Linked DNA regions of Kluyveromyces lactis. The protein of the gene in region 4 interacts with the protein of the main gene of each other region in a pairwise test. Links are inferred from orthologs where the notes say so. Each region holds a gene or a part of one and is shown on either strand. Other genes may lie near its edges. The genes, in order: LAS17, ARC35, BBC1 and VRP1.

Evidence for each region.
Region 1: the proteins of VRP1 (region 4) and LAS17 interact in binary tests that used the Saccharomyces cerevisiae proteins (3 or more experiments, as listed by UniProt). The link is inferred for Kluyveromyces lactis from reciprocal best matches to the Saccharomyces cerevisiae genes VRP1 and LAS17.
Region 2: the proteins of VRP1 (region 4) and ARC35 interact in binary tests that used the Saccharomyces cerevisiae proteins (3 or more experiments, as listed by UniProt). The link is inferred for Kluyveromyces lactis from reciprocal best matches to the Saccharomyces cerevisiae genes VRP1 and ARC35.
Region 3: the proteins of VRP1 (region 4) and BBC1 interact in a two-hybrid assay, tested with the Saccharomyces cerevisiae proteins (2 studies listed by BioGRID). The link is inferred for Kluyveromyces lactis from reciprocal best matches to the Saccharomyces cerevisiae genes VRP1 and BBC1.

The regions. Positions count from the first base shown.
Region 1 is NC_006039.1:433,063-437,407, reverse strand, and holds LAS17 (actin-binding protein LAS17), read right to left. Parts: upstream 2,689-4,345; coding exon 727-2,688; downstream 1-726. Other genes in the region: KLLA0_C04796g (uncharacterized protein), read left to right, coding at 1-601; KLLA0_C04752g (uncharacterized protein), read right to left, coding at 3,476-3,880; CTS1 (chitinase), read left to right, coding at 4,102-4,345.
Region 2 is NC_006042.1:670,908-673,972, reverse strand, and holds ARC35 (Arc35p), read right to left. Parts: upstream 1,860-3,065; coding exon 879-1,859; downstream 1-878. Other genes in the region: MRPS12 (mitochondrial 37S ribosomal protein uS12m), read right to left, coding at 2,260-2,763.
Region 3 is NC_006042.1:1,351,414-1,355,840, forward strand, and holds BBC1 (Bbc1p), read right to left. Parts: upstream 2,939-4,427; coding exon 383-2,938; downstream 1-382. Other genes in the region: pseudouridine synthase PUS6, read left to right, coding at 1-224; PEX35 (Pex35p), read left to right, coding at 3,224-4,261. UniProt on the Saccharomyces cerevisiae protein: Involved in the regulation of actin cytoskeleton.
Region 4 is NC_006038.1:536,768-540,889, reverse strand, and holds VRP1 (Vrp1p), read right to left. Parts: upstream 2,352-4,122; coding exon 582-2,351; downstream 1-581. Other genes in the region: ERV1 (flavin-linked sulfhydryl oxidase), read left to right, coding at 1-504; KLLA0_B05995g (heme-dependent oxidative N-demethylase family protein), read right to left, coding at 3,666-4,122. UniProt on the Saccharomyces cerevisiae protein: Involved in cytoskeletal organization and cellular growth. May exert its effects on the cytoskeleton directly, or indirectly via proline-binding proteins (e.g. profilin) or proteins possessing SH3 domains.

The DNA.
Region 1 (4,345 bases), on a different chromosome or scaffold from region 4:
ACTCATTTCGATTGGTATGCTTTGGTCGCAATGTGAACACCTAGAGTTATTATCAAATCAAGGTAACTTAGGACTCTTGACTGAGTATTTGTCTTCTTCAGTGAAGCTTCTACAAGATTCAATCGAAGAGTTAGAAGAGTGGTTGGAGGATCCAGTAATAAATTCAGACCCATTCGGAATGAATGACAAGTTCAGTGATGAGGAAGGTACGGATTTAGATGAAGAAGAGGAAGAGGAAGCTTCAGAATCCATGATTGAATTTGTCAAATCACTATCGCAAAAATCTCGTCTCCTTAAGCTCTTGTTGAGTTCATTATCCAAATCGATAACCATAAAAAAGGATACTGTAACTACAGCAGCATATCTATCTGAGCTAAATCAACTCCACAATTCAATAGTTTCTAACTCTGATACTTTAATTTCATCCACCTTAGTGAACGCTGAATATGAAGTAGATCCAGAAGTGGAAACATCAGTACTTGCTATCAATAATGATGTTAAGAAAGTTATAAAAATTATTACACAGCTAAACGGTTCAGATGAGTCCAAGTTGAAATGGATACAGGTATGGTCAAATAAGTGGAGTTCTTTGAATAATTAGTTTAGTTTTATCTGTCTTCTGTTTTAAAGGCATCTGAAAGTAATATATAGGTACACCGTACATACAAATACCAAATCATAATTCCACAGTCTAGTCAGATGCAGTTCAAGTAGGGTGAATTACTTTCACCAATCATCACCGTTGTCTATATCATCGTCACGAGCAACTTTATTCTTTCTTTGGTTTAAAGCCGCAGCTAGGGCATCAGCCAAGGACGCAGGAGCACCAACAGGTCCGCCAGTTGACCCGCCTGTGGGTTGAGATACCGGCGCATCACTACGAACTTCTTGTAACAAAGGACTTGGCTTTTCAAGTTGAGATTTATCCACCTTACGGAGGGAATTCAGACCAGCTCCACGAATCGATGCTAATAAGGCATCCCTTCCAGCATCACCAGTATTTTCAACAAAACCAGATCCTGCTTCAGGTTGATTAAATGCAGGGGCTGGAGGAGGAGGAGGAGGTGGTGGTGGTGCGGGCGCTGAGTTCGTTATCTGTGGAGCAAAAGGTGCCGGAGGGGCAGGAGGTGCTGGGGGAGGTGCAGTGCCATTAGGTACCGCTATATGATGCTGGGGTTGGGCTAACATAGGCTCGGTCGATGGGTGATACTGAGTGCTTACACCTGAGTGGGGTGGTAAGACAGGGGGAGGCGGAATGTATGCGGTTTGCTGTGGTGGTTGATATTGCTGAACAGGAGGCGCTGCATTGTAGGTATTATGCTGTTGAAGAGGAGGAGATTGCATTTGTGGTGGAAGCTGGGGCTGGGGAGGGCCGATGGCTGAGTTATGAGTTGTACCTCTGCTTGCAGGTGGAGAAGGAGCCTGGCCACCACGTCTAGGTGGTGGTGGTGGTGGAGGCCCTCTTCCAGTACGACTATGCTGACCGCCAGTTGGAGCATTAGGTAGAGGACCTCTTGAAGGAATGGACGGCGGAGCAGCTGAGCGTCTTGGAGGGGGAGGTGGTACCGGACCACGCCTCGAAACTGGAGGAGCAATACCAGGTCTCGTTGAAGTTGGTCTCGGAGGTGGTTGCAGACCAGCAACAGAATATTGTCCAAACTGAGGAGTGTTGTTATTAGTGACGTTTTGTTGTTGAGCTGGATGGGAAGGTGGAGGAGGGATTGCAACGCTTTGCTGCATAGGCGGAATCGAAGGAGGTGCTGCAGGTGAAGGAGAATTATGCTGCTGCTGGAATTGCGGATGAGGTGACTGAGCCAGTGGACGATATTGTTCTGCTGGTAAAGGAGGAGGAACTGCATGTACCGGGTGGTTTATTGGTGGAGGAGGATTACTTGGTGCTGGTGTTGATGCATAGGATGAATCCGGGGTAGGAGAATGAGTAGAGGAAACCGATGGAGGTGCAGGAGAGCTTGGGAATGATGGAATAGAGTCGTACTTATAAGATGGGATGCTCACAGGAGGAGGAGGTTGTTTCTCGACAGGCGGTGGCGGTGGTTTCGAGGCAAAAGAAGGAGGAGCGGCACTTGCATCTGAAGCTGAGTTTTCAGTTGAAGCATAATTCTGGCTGGGCTGCTCGTAATGGTGTTCCTGGCGGTGCTCGTGCTTTTCCGGTTCATATCTATATCTGACCCTTTGGTCACTGATCAAGGATTCGCCTCTTGGACCATGGATCACTTTACTCTCTTCCTCTTTCTTAATTTGGTCCTCTAATGCAATTGCATTCTTGTTGGCCAAGGTCTTCTTGGACGCGTATTTCTCCCGTTTCTGTACTCGTTTCAAAAAATGTGAAGCATCGCCAATATCGGTGAATAACAACCCGGCGTTACATTGTTCTAATTCAAAGGTATGAAAGAAAGTACGATCCTGGTTATATTGAAAGTTCACGTACAATTCTTGATCCCAGAGAACACCTCGATGCCCATGCACGTCGATCAACTTCAAAAAGAAAGTATTACCAACGATATCGTCCACCAATGCAATGGCACCAGATAAGCCAGTATAAACCCATTTCTCTGGATTAGGGTATGCAATGTATAACCTAGCGATAGTAACATCTATAATCTTGTTAGAAGCCTTGGGCAAAGCATGTTTAACCTTTTCTTTCTCAGCAGAATTCAAGCCTCCCATAGTATACTCGGAAACAACTGCTTTATGATTATTAATTTCTCAAAAGAAGTGTAAACTCGTTCAACTTGAAATCAATTCTTGACGGAGGCAGCTACCGATGGGTTCTAATGAAAATAACACAAACGCGCGATGCACTTTAGGGAGTGGGGGGGTTTGGCTGACTATAATTTACGGTTCTTAAGTTTTCGGTCTGTTTAACATTTCGCAACTTTTCAATTTTTCAATATTGAAAGTTGAAGCGATTCTTAATACGGCATTATTCCCCTATAATTCACAGAGTGATTCAGTGAAAGAAGAAGGGACCAACAGAACTGCGAGAGAGATAAAAAAAAAAGGACCTTTACACAATGGGGTTTGTTCAAGTTGCCATATTGAATTCAAAAGTACTAACAGACCATTTGTAAATGGGAATACAGTGTGCCCATTTAGGTCACTGCAAGGTACAGGAAAGACAAGAAGCATTTCAGTACGAACACGCATTCGAACATAATACGGAGAAAAATTAAGAGTTCTGTTTACTGATACATCTGGCCGACGCATGTGGACGTGGTTACAGCGGCACAATGGCAGAAGAATTTCTGTCCTGACCCAGGAACCGTCTGGCACTGCAGCATCTGACAAAAGTCAGAATCACTTTGTACGTGTTGATCGCTTTATGCTGGGTTTTTTTGGCAACCAGCATGCGGTATTCAAAAGGTAAACAACAGCTACATGCTCGAAGAGATCAGAGGGAGAAACATCGAAAGATGGTTTTTTTTTGCAGGTGGACGGTGTTTGGATTGCGTGCTTATGATGTGAAATAGTTTACAACAGGCGGCGTGATTGGGTTTACATTTTGTGTCTTGTTTACAGTTACGTTAAACGTAAATGCTTTCTTCTCTTTAGTCCAGCGTAAAACTCTTCCAAAAAGAATTCTTTTTCCTAGGCACTTTTTTGACACGAAATTATGTTTTAGCATATTACAGGAACAGCTTTTGGATGTTGCGAAACAAAACGAAACGAAACAGAGTAAACATAAACAGTGAGCAGGAGCAAGTGTTTGAGAATGCTTTCTGTGGTGTGTTTGTTTACATGCTTTGGAATGTTTGAAACAAGTGCTGGGGTCCAGCTCGATGTCATATTTTGTGATTTCTGGTATATAAAGGGCACAACAATGGCAGGATGAGGTACCAGTAATGCAACTATCAATCATTGTGTTAAACTGGTCACCAGAAATACAAGATATCAAAAATTACTAATACTACCATAACAGTACTTACCTGTGTGCGTGTGCTATCTCTCTATACAAGCCTTTAAATTTTAATCTGTCACTCTTTATTAAAGGATTACATATTCTGACATTCGCAGGATACTAGTATTGAAATTAGAGAACACCCTCCATTCATTCCTTTAAAAGTATTAACAGAATCTACAATGTTTCACCCTCGTTTACTTCTGTTGTCTTTGGTTCAACTTTTGCTCACCTCGGCATTTGACATAAACGCTAAAGATAACGTCGCTGTGTATTGGGGCCAAGCCTCTGCAGGCACTCAAGAATCGTTAGGTACTTATTGTGCTTCGGACAATGTTGATGTTGTCGTCTTATCCTTCCTATACCAGTTCCCTGACAACCTAGCTATTGATTTTGCTTCTGCTTGCTCAACCACCTTTGACGATG
Region 2 (3,065 bases), on a different chromosome or scaffold from region 4:
TTGTTTCACCTTGTGTCGTCGTTTCATTGTATGGGATTTTCCATAACTTTGGATGCTTTTTTTTTCCTGATTCAATTTTGAAGCCGTTTTTGAGCCATTTTGAAGTTCGAAAATAAAAAAAAAAGGTAACTACCAGAACTTGGCGTAGGTTTTATGAGCCGTGCGCAAAGTGGGAGGTATATTATGATGGAGTACTGGATAATAGCATCCCAAATTGCCGACGATATCATAAAATATATTCCGTTTGGGTAAGACCCAGTAACGTGGGCGTAGAATTAATGAAGGAAAAAAAAAAAGCACAAATGGCATTACCATGTAAGGAATGGCTAAACAGGTAAGGCCGTAGGGTTTTGGTTCCAGAATGCAAGTTTGCGAACATTGGCAGTATAGGCTTGCCCAGCTGTCATTCCGTTCTGAATTGTGAAGTGGGGTTTGGACAGATAAAGGAAGGGGCAAGGCAGGGCAGTGCTAATTCCAGCCCAAACTTGACCGGCGTTAGTACTCTGGTTAGGCCATGTACCATTTACCTTGTGCCTTACTTCGCAGCTGCAACAAGGGTGAGGAAAATTGAAAATTAAGCTTCTTGAGCTTCTCAAGCACTCTAAAACTGGGACGGAATGGTCCGACTCGGAGTTGCGTTGTTTTTTTTTTTCTTTCCACTCAGGTAGGTTTTACCCGGTCTTTTTTTTTTTTTTTCCATTCCTCTTTGGTTGTGTTAGAACTGACTCAAGGCTCGAGCGTTTATTGCCCAGCAATTGCATGGCATTACGGAGGGAAAAAAATCTGAATAGGATCATCTACTTGTCACGTGATATAAATCGCTACATCGGCAGCATTCTATTTTATACTTTAAACACATTATTGAAACCAATTTCTACTTAGTAGACCATTTTTCTACCGGTGATTGTTCTACGTGAATCGGATTCAGTTTCTTCGTCTAGCTTTGCTCTATTCAAGACCTTGATGAATGTATCAACACGATATCTCATTCTTGAATGCATGTATGCCTTAGCACACTTGATATGGTAATGGAAATAGTTCCTGAATAGGGCAAGCTGTGACACAGATGTGAACATTAGTTCATCGGAGGAGTAGTGACGTGGGAACAATACAAATGTGATGAATCTCCTGGTAGACTTCTTAGCACCTGCAACGTGAGCGTGTTGTTGGGCTACTTCTTGAATTTCCAAAGGTGGTTCATGGGAGAATAGCACTTGAGGCGCAGATTGGATGGATCTATTTCTCTTTCTTGCGTCTACGAATTCTTGTAGGAAAACTTTACCGAAAACTTTGTCAGTTTCATCTTGGAATATAGTTTCGAATATAACAGTGATACGATCAAAGGACGGCTTGATGTATATGTTTTCATCATCTCTGTATTTGATAACCATAGCCCTGGCCTCCTTTGATTTTTCCACTTGGTCTATTTCATTCAATTGAGAAAGAGCATTACTCTGGCCAAACGCTAAATAGAATGGATATGACATTACAAGGATCTTAAACAAAGATGCTTGCACAATAGATTGCGCAGTGATTTGAGATAGATCAACAGTAATGGTAAAATCGTAACCGGCCTCCTTTTTAGCAGATGATAGAGCCAAACCTGGTACTTCATCGAATTTTGCCTGCAAGAACCCTTGTAAATCGTTCCCACTCTCATTACAAGATTGCGTAGCCTTGGTTCTGATGGAAACTAATAGGTTCGACTTATCAGTGCCATCGTTGGTGATGTGTAACGTTGTATAATCAAAGTCGGAGATGATTCTGTCCAAAGTTAAAGGAGACCCATTGTTGTAAGCTTCCAAAGCTTCTGTTAATGTCTTTTGGACCAATAGGTTGTATGGTTTAAGGTGTAACATTATTATGTATTGATATTAGAAGGCTCACAAGTGTTCACCCAGGCTTTTTTTTCGAACAAGTCTATGAGCTTTTCTTCAATTGACTTGGAACAATATCAACTTGTAAGTTTCCTCAACACTGAGCAGGTTTAGTCTCTTCGAAATTTCCCAATTCCTTGCAGATGATGAATCTTTCTTTCTGTTTGTTCCAATAGGGGCACCTTTTCGTTGAAATCGTTGTTAACTAAATTTTCAGCACTTTTCTATGATGGAAAAACCATCCGAACAAAATTTCGGTCACGTGGCCATAAAGATTGAGCAACCAGTAGATAGATTATTCGCATATTTACATGAAGGTCTAGTTTATAAACATAAGTATATATTTTATGTTGATAATTCAGAATATAATACTGTTGGTATCTTACTCCTTTGTTGGTTTCTTCACACCGTACTTCGATCTGGAGCTGATTCTGTTGACAACACCGGCCAAATCACCGGCACCACGGACAACATGATATTTCACACCAGGTAAATCTTGGCAACGGCCTCCACGAACATATACAATACTGTGCTCTTGTGCGTTATGGCCTTCGCCTGGGATATATGCAGAAACAATGTTACCATTGGTTAATCTCACTCTACAAGCTTTTCTCTGAGCAGAATTAGGTTTCTTTGGCTTCAATACCATCACTCTTAGCACAACTCCTTTACGAATCGGGCATACCTCCAAATCTGGGGATTCAGTGATCTTCTTACGGCCAGGAGGCTTGACCCCTCTCTTTATTTGGTTCAACGTGGCTTGTATTGGTGAAGTATATGAGAAAGAACGTTGTTGCAGTGGTGGTGCAAATGCTATGCTTGAACGAACATTACGCAACGATAGTCTAGTCAGACTACTGCTCAATCCGAAAACCTGTTTGAACATTGGTATCTTTGACAGGATTGTTTCTTAAGATCCAGTGCACGTAAGTCAAACTCAGAGTTGAACTTACGCCAACATTTATTCACTGACCGATTGATATAACTCTTTCAATTCAACATTTGCTTCATAATTTTTTGTCAGTTTCTGATGATGAAAAATCATAGTTGAAAATATTCGGAAGTCATGTGATCGAATATGTGTTGTTGCTGATGTCCGGGAAATTGTTCAGAAAATGTGCATGGTTTGAGAGATCTTTTAACCTAAAAGATTTTGTTCATTTCGTTGGGAACACCAGCTGCACTATG
Region 3 (4,427 bases), on a different chromosome or scaffold from region 4:
TCGAAAAGCTACGGAAGCGGTTCGAGGTTGAACTGGATGATGTCTGGGATCAATTGAATGAAAATCAAGAACGATGTCCTGAATGCGACGAAGAAATGCCAAAAGATCCAACTCCAGAATCGTTAGAGCTATATCTACATGCTTGGAGATACAAAGGTTTGGATTTGGAGTTTGAAACAGATTATCCCTACTGGGCGAAGTTCGAAAATGAGAAACAAGCTTAACATCAAGTTTTGAGTTGTTTCTTTATTCATGTATTTAACTTTTTTAGTATCCTTCTCAATCAATATTGTATATACTATATATTTATTCAAATAGCAGCATATGTGTTCTTGCATTTGTTCTTCAAGAGGTCAATTTGTTTTACTTCCTTGTATCATTCTTACCAACCAATGTCCTTGCGATGTACTGGCTTGGCCACCTTTAACTTTCCTTTAGTCAAGTTTTCAAGTGGATACATAGATACTTTGCACTCACCACCAAGCTCTTCAATCACTGATAAAGATTGAGTTTCAAGATCCACAGATTTTAGAATGGCCACAAACGGCGTTTCTATTCCCAAGCTGTACGTTAAACCATCGTCAAAGGTAAATTCAGCGTTTCTTGCAACAAGTATCAAACCTGGTACCAATTTTCCTAGCGCAGCTTCATCTATTGCGGTGTTATAAGCATGTTCAAAAACGGTGATACCGTAAGTTCTTTGAGCAATTGGTGGGACTAGATTATCTATTGGACCCAATATTTGAGGAATAAATGAATGACAAGCTTTACCAACACATTTGTTACTGTTTTCGTAAATTGTTTTGATTAACAGATCACTACCAGTACTTTGTGATGAGGAGGGAATATAGTCCTGATGGGAAATTGCTGTCTCAATTGGATTCTTTGGATCATATACAACATATGCTTGAATTTGAGAGTAATCTTCGAACAAGAACTGGAAATCTCTGACAACCAACTTATTTGTATTCCTTCTTTCAACTATGTGATCCTGAGATTCCCAGATGTATTTTACTTTGCTTGGTTTAACAGTATCAGCCTGAACTGTCTTAGTTAACCACCAAGTACTTTGCTTTGAGAACTCTAATTCTGGAATAGTACCTGGTTCAAATTTCGCCGTAGTTGTCCGTCTTAATGGCTGGAAACTGGCCGGAATTTGTGGAGCAGCAGATGAAGGAGTGGCTGGTGATGAGTTTGCTGCACCTGGAATAGTCTGAATTGAAGGTCTTCGTTGCGGTGCATTAGAAGGAGGCAATGGTGGAGGGCCGCCACTGCTTGGTACTGGAGGAGCAGGGGCAGCAGCGGGCTGTTTTGTTGGCAGTTTCTGCTCAGTGTTTTCGGTTTTAACGCTTAAAACTGGTGCTGGAGCCTTTGTTGGTAATGGTGGTACAGGTACGCTTGAAGGAACAGGAGGAATTGGTGCACCTGTTGGAATTGGCGGGACGGAAGGAGCAGATGGAATTGGAGGGGCTGCGGGCAATTTTTGTGGGGCGTTAGTAGCTTGTGGAGTTTGTGGAGTTTGTGGGGATCCCGGAGAAGTATCAATTGTATAAACATGAGTGGGCCTAATTCTTTGAGGAACAGTTGGCGACGGAGCCTCCTCTTCTTCATCTTCCACTTTCTTAGTAGTTTCATCTTCGGATTCATATCCAGAAAGGCCTTGACTTCCCTCGGGTACTTCATCTTTATGTTGGAAGTCTGGGTCTTTGTCGTAATTCACCGAACCTGTAATAGCAGGTTGAGCATCATCGACTCCATCTACAAAGCTAGATTCGCTTTCTTCGTCAGCTTGATTTTCTGGGGTTTCGGCATGACCAGAAGTTTCCACAGCAATTTCTTCAGTCTTCTTCCTAAACATTGGCAGCATCGATGGGTCGGCAAATGGCATGACAGGAACCGCTGTTGGAAGAGATGACGTTTCAGTTGGACTTTCAGATTCTTCCTTTGGTTTCTTGCTTTTGGTTGGGGTCTTCGAAGAGTCAGCAGAAGGCATTGGCATTCCAAATGGGTTGAAGTACGCATTAGGCATACCGTATCTACTTGCATTTGCTAGTCTTGCCATCTTTTCTCTTAAAGCAGCACGTCTTTGTTCCTCTTCATTTTCGTCTTCAGAAGATTCATTTTCATCATTATCATCACGATCGTCATTCTCGTTAACTGACTCCTCAGGAATAGAGTAGGTACGCTGAGGGTGAGAGCCAATTGAAGCAGTATCATTAGGAATTGGTGGAGCTGTGTGAATGCTAGAAGTACTGACATCAACTTCTGGATTTTCAGCATCGGAATCTTCAATAACAGAGGCATCATAACTTTCCCTTTTTTCAATATTAACTGGAGAAGTTGCACTAGCAGTAGCAACGCTGCCGGTTGGGGACGACACACTAGAAATACTTTTTTTCCGCTTATGCAAAGTTTCCGCCTGTTCCTGTTGTTGTTTCTGCATATGCTGTAACATGGATATCCTTTGCTGCAAGGACATTTTAGATTCCGACTTAGCCTCCTTTACCAAATCATCGCTATTAACAAAACCACTCCTCTCAGTATCACCAGAACCTTCTTGAAACGACAGACTATTTCTCAACTGTCTGACATTATCCTGAGAAACCTTTCCCTTCTGGACTGGTGCAGTTGCAGCTGCAGCATTTGGATTGACAGTCTGTGTTTCCGGAATCTTGACCGGAGTTTCCACATTTGGTTTCTCCTCTGGCTGCTTCTCTTGAGCAGGCTCACTAGCAGTTTCCTTCAAAGGTTCACTAACAAAACCTTTGGGGAAAATACCTTGCTTTGTTTTACCATCAGCATCCTTAAACTCACCAAAGAACCACTCATCGTCTTCTATTTCAAGCACCGTAATGATCTGACCTTTGGAAAATGGTAAATCATCCTCAAAATCTGAGGTGTATGGAAACAATGCCTCGACCTTAAATGGCACAGACATCTTTAACACGTAATCTAGTTTCGAGAACTGTTCTTCTAGTAAGCTGGTCCTTTTATTTCACTCGCCGAGTGTTCTTTGTTAAAGGGGTGGTGAAAAGTTCGCGATATAAGGAATCGTTTTAATTTCAAAGGCTTTAGTAACATTTTTCCAAACAATTTTAAAGGATTAGATTTCACCGAAAGGTAGATAACGAACGAATGATAGACTTCACGTCAATTGAAAGGCATATATGAACGTTCAATCAGCAGGTGAGGGTTGCAGAACTTATGACTGATTGGATAAGGCATGACATTGAATTCGAATACTCGTTTGGCGAGATTCATTCGATTTTTAGCGTACGACTATGATTCGGAAATTGATAGAAACGCTTTGTATCGTCGCATCGTTGGAGTTATTGGTGTTAATGGGTTTATAGCATTGTTAAAAAAGCACCGGAAGTTAACGGCCAGTTCATTATTCGATGGTTTGCCTATCGTTGTTGCTATACCGTTACTGAGAAGGATAATTCGTCAAAGACATGCCAGCTGGTTCCTGGGTTTAACGATTGGTCTCTCGCAGCTCAAGGCTAAGCTACCGCATTGGATTGTTTCATACTGGGCTGTAGAATCTGTTGTAGATCAAATCAAGCTCTGGGTTGATTATTCCAGTATAAGCGAACGCCGTTGGATTCTTCTCAGGCAATTGGCAGCTAGTCTCTTGATACCAATCCTATACCACAGAAATCAATCGAAGGGGAGATTATACAGGATATTATTCGAGACTAGAAAACCTTGGAAGGACTTCCTTTTGTTATTTGTCGCATGGAATGTCGTCAAGACTTATAAGAATGTGAAATCCATCCTTTTGAAAGAGAAGCTTAAGAAGAATAAAGTGAATACTTCCTCAATGACGTTCGATTCAGAGGCAAAGGAATCTCAGACACAACATGGTTCAATGACAAGGATACTCATGCAAAGGTTAGAAGAGTTAAATGAGTTATCCGATAAGAAATCAAGCGGGTCGGTCAAAGAACGAGTGTATGGTTATTTCTTCAGTGACAATTTTATCAAATGTGTAAAATGGACGCTCTGGAGACAGGTGGTGATGTTAATCTTCAACGGTCAACATTCCAAATGTCTAAAGCCATTACATAAATCGATCATCATCATGTTGTCATTCACTTTGCTGAGCGACCCACAACATTTAGATATTAACTGGGAGCTACTCAAATACTTGGGGAGATCAACGTTATCTCAAGAACTTGGTAGGATACCACATTATCAAAAACCAATCATTTTCGCTGCCCTTAGTCTCTCATATCTAACCAGGAACCCAATTGCCTAATAAACAGACTGATTTGTTCCTAGTTTGATTTGTATCAATATGCGTGTGTTCCTTTTCTAATTAGAGTCTTTTCGTGTCGGTGTGTATATAAATGTTACGCATATGTTGATCTATACACAGATCCCGTATACATACGTATATATATATATATCACGATTCGTACGTT
Region 4 (4,122 bases):
TTTCAATTTGTGACCGGCACTTTGAAGGCTCGGGGAAGCGGCAATTCTTCTGCTTCACCAGTGGCGGATTCCACTCAGTCTCCTGGCTCCGGTGAATTAGCAGCTGGGGCCGCGACAGATATTTCAAATACTTCAGCTGACCAGCCACTGTTGATTCCTGGATCTAAGACATACTCTAAGTCTGGGCCTGCTGATGTCGAAGAGCTAGGCCGTTCTTCTTGGACTTTGTTACATACGATAGCTGCCAAGTATCCGAATAAGCCATCGGACACACAGAAACAAGAAATGAAACAATTTATGACCATATTCTCTCATGTTTATCCATGCGGGTGGTGTGCTAAGGACTTTGAACTATTTATAAAAGAGAACGCACCCAAGGTTGATTCAAAAGACGACTTAGGTAGATGGATTTGTGCGGCACATAATGAAGTTAATGAGAAATTGGGAAAGGAGAAATTCAACTGCGATTTGTGGAAGAAAAGGTGGGTAGATGGGTGGGATTAAGTGTTATACTTCTTCCTCTTCCACTCGTCTAGGAATGCTTTCATTAATATCTTATATAGTTCTTACTCATTATAAAGTCATGTAAATACAGTAAAATCTAATGGAACACTTGAACCTCTGCCACTTGGATATAGTTTTCTTAAGCCCAAGAATTGTCTCGGTTTGGGGAGATCGTTTCTGTTAGACCAATCGAATTTTGAATCATCAATGGTTATTCCACTGTTATTCAGCTTTATTCCGGTCGTATCTTGACTTCCTTCTATTGTGAAATCTCCGACATCTATTTCAGCAGCATTTGTGTAAGGGTTAGTAGATTGAGATGGTCGACTGGCTTCATTACCAGATGAAAAAAGTCTGTGTTTGAAGAAACCTTTTGATGAGGAACTATTTGTGCGTTCCACTTGAGGTTGCTGATTTTGTTGAAGAGATTCCTCTGAGGCTGCGGGTGGAGGTGGTGGAGCTTTGGCAGAGGGAAATGAAGCGGCTTGTGGAGGAGGGGAAGGAGGAGCCGTTGGCGCACCCACTGGTGTATGACTATTCTCACTTTCGATAATGTGAGAATCATCCCTTCTGCTTTGTATTGATGCCAGAAATGGTAATCCTCCGGCTGGAATAGATGGTGCTTCAGAACTTGGGGTAGATTGAGGCAGCGTAGGTGCATTAAAGGAAGGAGTAGGTGGGGCCGGAGGGGCAGGAGGGGCAGGAGGTGCAGGAGGTGCAGGAGCCGGTGGGGCCGGAGGAGCAGCAATTGAAGGTGGAGCAGCAGGAGCTGGAGTTGGTGGAACCGAAGGAGCACTGAACGAAGGAGGAGCCGGAGGAGCAGATGATGAGGGAAGCGGTACCTTTGGAGCGGAAGATGCTGTATTATTCGACGCACCATGTCCTGTTCCTTCAACTACGAATCTGTCATCTCTCTTTCGTTGAATCTCCGCCAGGAATGGAAGTCCTCCAGCTGGGGACGGTGCAGATGGTGGTGGTTGCGGCGTGGACGTTGGGAATGATATGCTTGGAGGTGCAGGTGGGGCTGCAGGAGGGGTACTGATTATGGGAGGTGCTGGAGGTGCTGGAGCTGGAGGTGCAGATGTAGGAGGTGCAGGCGTAGGAGGTGCTGGTGGGGCCGCAGGAGGGGTGCTAATTGTGGGAGGTGCTAGAGGTACTGGAGGTGCCGGAGCTGGTGGCACGGCTATAGGAGGAGCTGGAGGTGCAGGTGGTAACGTTACAGGCGGAGCAGGTTGTGCTTGAACCGGAGGTGCTTCTGTGCGTTGTCTTGCTGGAGGATGTTTCGGAACCGGTGGTGTGTTCATCATGGGTACTGGTGGCGGACTTGTTGGAATTGCCGGTGCTGCCATTGGAGGAGGAGCAGGAGGAGCCGCCACTGACGAATCACCCTCACTTCTCAAAGTCTTTTTACGCTGTGGTCTATTAGAAGGAATTTTTGGGATTGAAGAGCTATCCGGAAGCGGAGGAGCTCCAGATGGAATAGCTGGTGATTTAGAGGAACCCGAAACATGTTTTAATTTAGGGATCCCACCAGCAAGTATATCTCCCAATTGAGGGACACCGGGAAGCTGAGTTGGAGTCGGGATCGATGGTGCTACAGGCGGGACTGCTGAGCTCGATACTGATACAGAGTGGCTCATCGAACTTGATCCTCCAATCGCAGGTGCACTCTTATCCACAGTGTGTGCTTTCTTAAGTTTTGCACCTTTCCTAATATCACTCAATAAGGCATCACGTCCTGGAACAGCCGCTGGGGGTGGGACAGGAGTTGCAGCGGAGCCAGCATTGGATGAATTTCCGCCAAACATAGGCGGAGGAGGTGCTGGTGGTGGAGGTGGACCAGCCATATTATTCTAATTTCTATGTTCAGCAAGTTATCTATAACAAAGTATGCTCAAATCCTTAAGTCTTATAGAACTTTTAGCGGAAACACACTGGTCAATTGGTATCGCTATGATTCTTTTCGAATAACTACCTTAAACGCAGTGGACCCCTATGCACTGCAACAGTTTGTTTCTCTCTGATTTGACGTTTCTTTCATTTTTAAATAGCTAATTGATATCTGGAAGCCTCAAGGATACCCGGACACTACACTTTCCACCCAGACACTACACTTTCAGTTCGGTGCTAAATCAATAATCAAGAAGAATACGGCAATGCAAGACGATTCTATGATACTACTACAGTACGAAGTTCACTGGACCTCTTCATGATTTCGCGGTAGCATCGGCATGTAGTAACTAAATGAGGAACATCGTTTTAGTGGAGTGCCATTCCCAGTTACCAGCCCTATACGAATAATTTACCAATATAATATATTCGGGTAACATTTTGGTATTGGACCTTGTCTTAAAAAAGTTTTCAAAGGCGATCAAGCATCTTAACAACTTACTATGTGAAGAAGGTACTGAAATCTATATATCATGTACACTATCTATAGCTAGTACCACCACCATCGGGGATTGGATTAAAAATTGAGCTAATATATTCCACAGCAAGATGTAATACGTTGTCAATTCTTTGTTTTGTTAGTGACAGGTGTCCTAACGCGAAGTAATGCATTTTCTGTCGTCGTTCTTTTAACTTAGCTAATGGAATCCGTCCTCATAGTATATAGATTTTAAGTGGCATCTTCGAAGATCCGTGCGCAGTTTTTCTTTCAGTGGTGCATGGATTCAAAGCGATGCCCAAATTGAAGATAAATTCACAGCTTCTTGCTGTGTGTTTCCCTCGTTTCTGTGGATTTTCCTCTGTTGAATGCTAAAAAACATCATCACGAATTTTCACGAATGGTTTTGGATGCATAAATAGCGTCCTTTACCCAGGAAACTGGGGCACATCTCTAAATCGTATGGTATTTTGTGATTCGAACCTTGGTTACCCAAAAAGCCTTATAATTTAGTCTCGGAAATGAACTTCTTGCACATGGTTTCGTATTCCAGACTTGTGAGGGAATGTCTTCTCAATCTTTCATAAAAATATCTATTCCGCGATAGTTTAATGGTTAGAATTCGCGCTTGTCGCGTGCGAGATCGGGGTTCAATTCCCCGTCGCGGAGAAGCTTTTTTATTTTTTCGTCACTGCATTCACATTCGACTCAAGCTCTATTAACAACACTCGTTAATTTAAGAGTATCTGTCAATATTGTTCGTTAAAGTTATTTACAACTTTCTATGTAATGCTGATTCAAGCATTTCAAGCAATGCTGGCCCCCACTCGGGTTTACGCTTGTATTGTCCAATTGAATCTTGCATTCCTTTCACTGCGTCACATAAATCCTGAATAACACCTTCCTGTGAATAGTAATCGTTTGCTAAGAACTCATCTTGCAAGTTCCATAGATACGTCTTGATAGAAAAACACATTGATTTTGAGTTTTCTAATTTGATTAGACATTGTCTTTCAGATCTGTAATGCAAATCATGACCTCCATGCATCTCTTCTAAAGTTTTCGGACGAATTTCCTCTTCCTCTGTACCCTTATTATCATCTGTGACAAACAGTTTGGAATGTGTTTGGAACGAGAAGTTTATCCTCATCACTAATTTTCCGGGTTTGTGAGTTTGGAAGAATTTATTCATTTGCGTCTGTAATTTTTGCTTATATTCTGGAACAGGT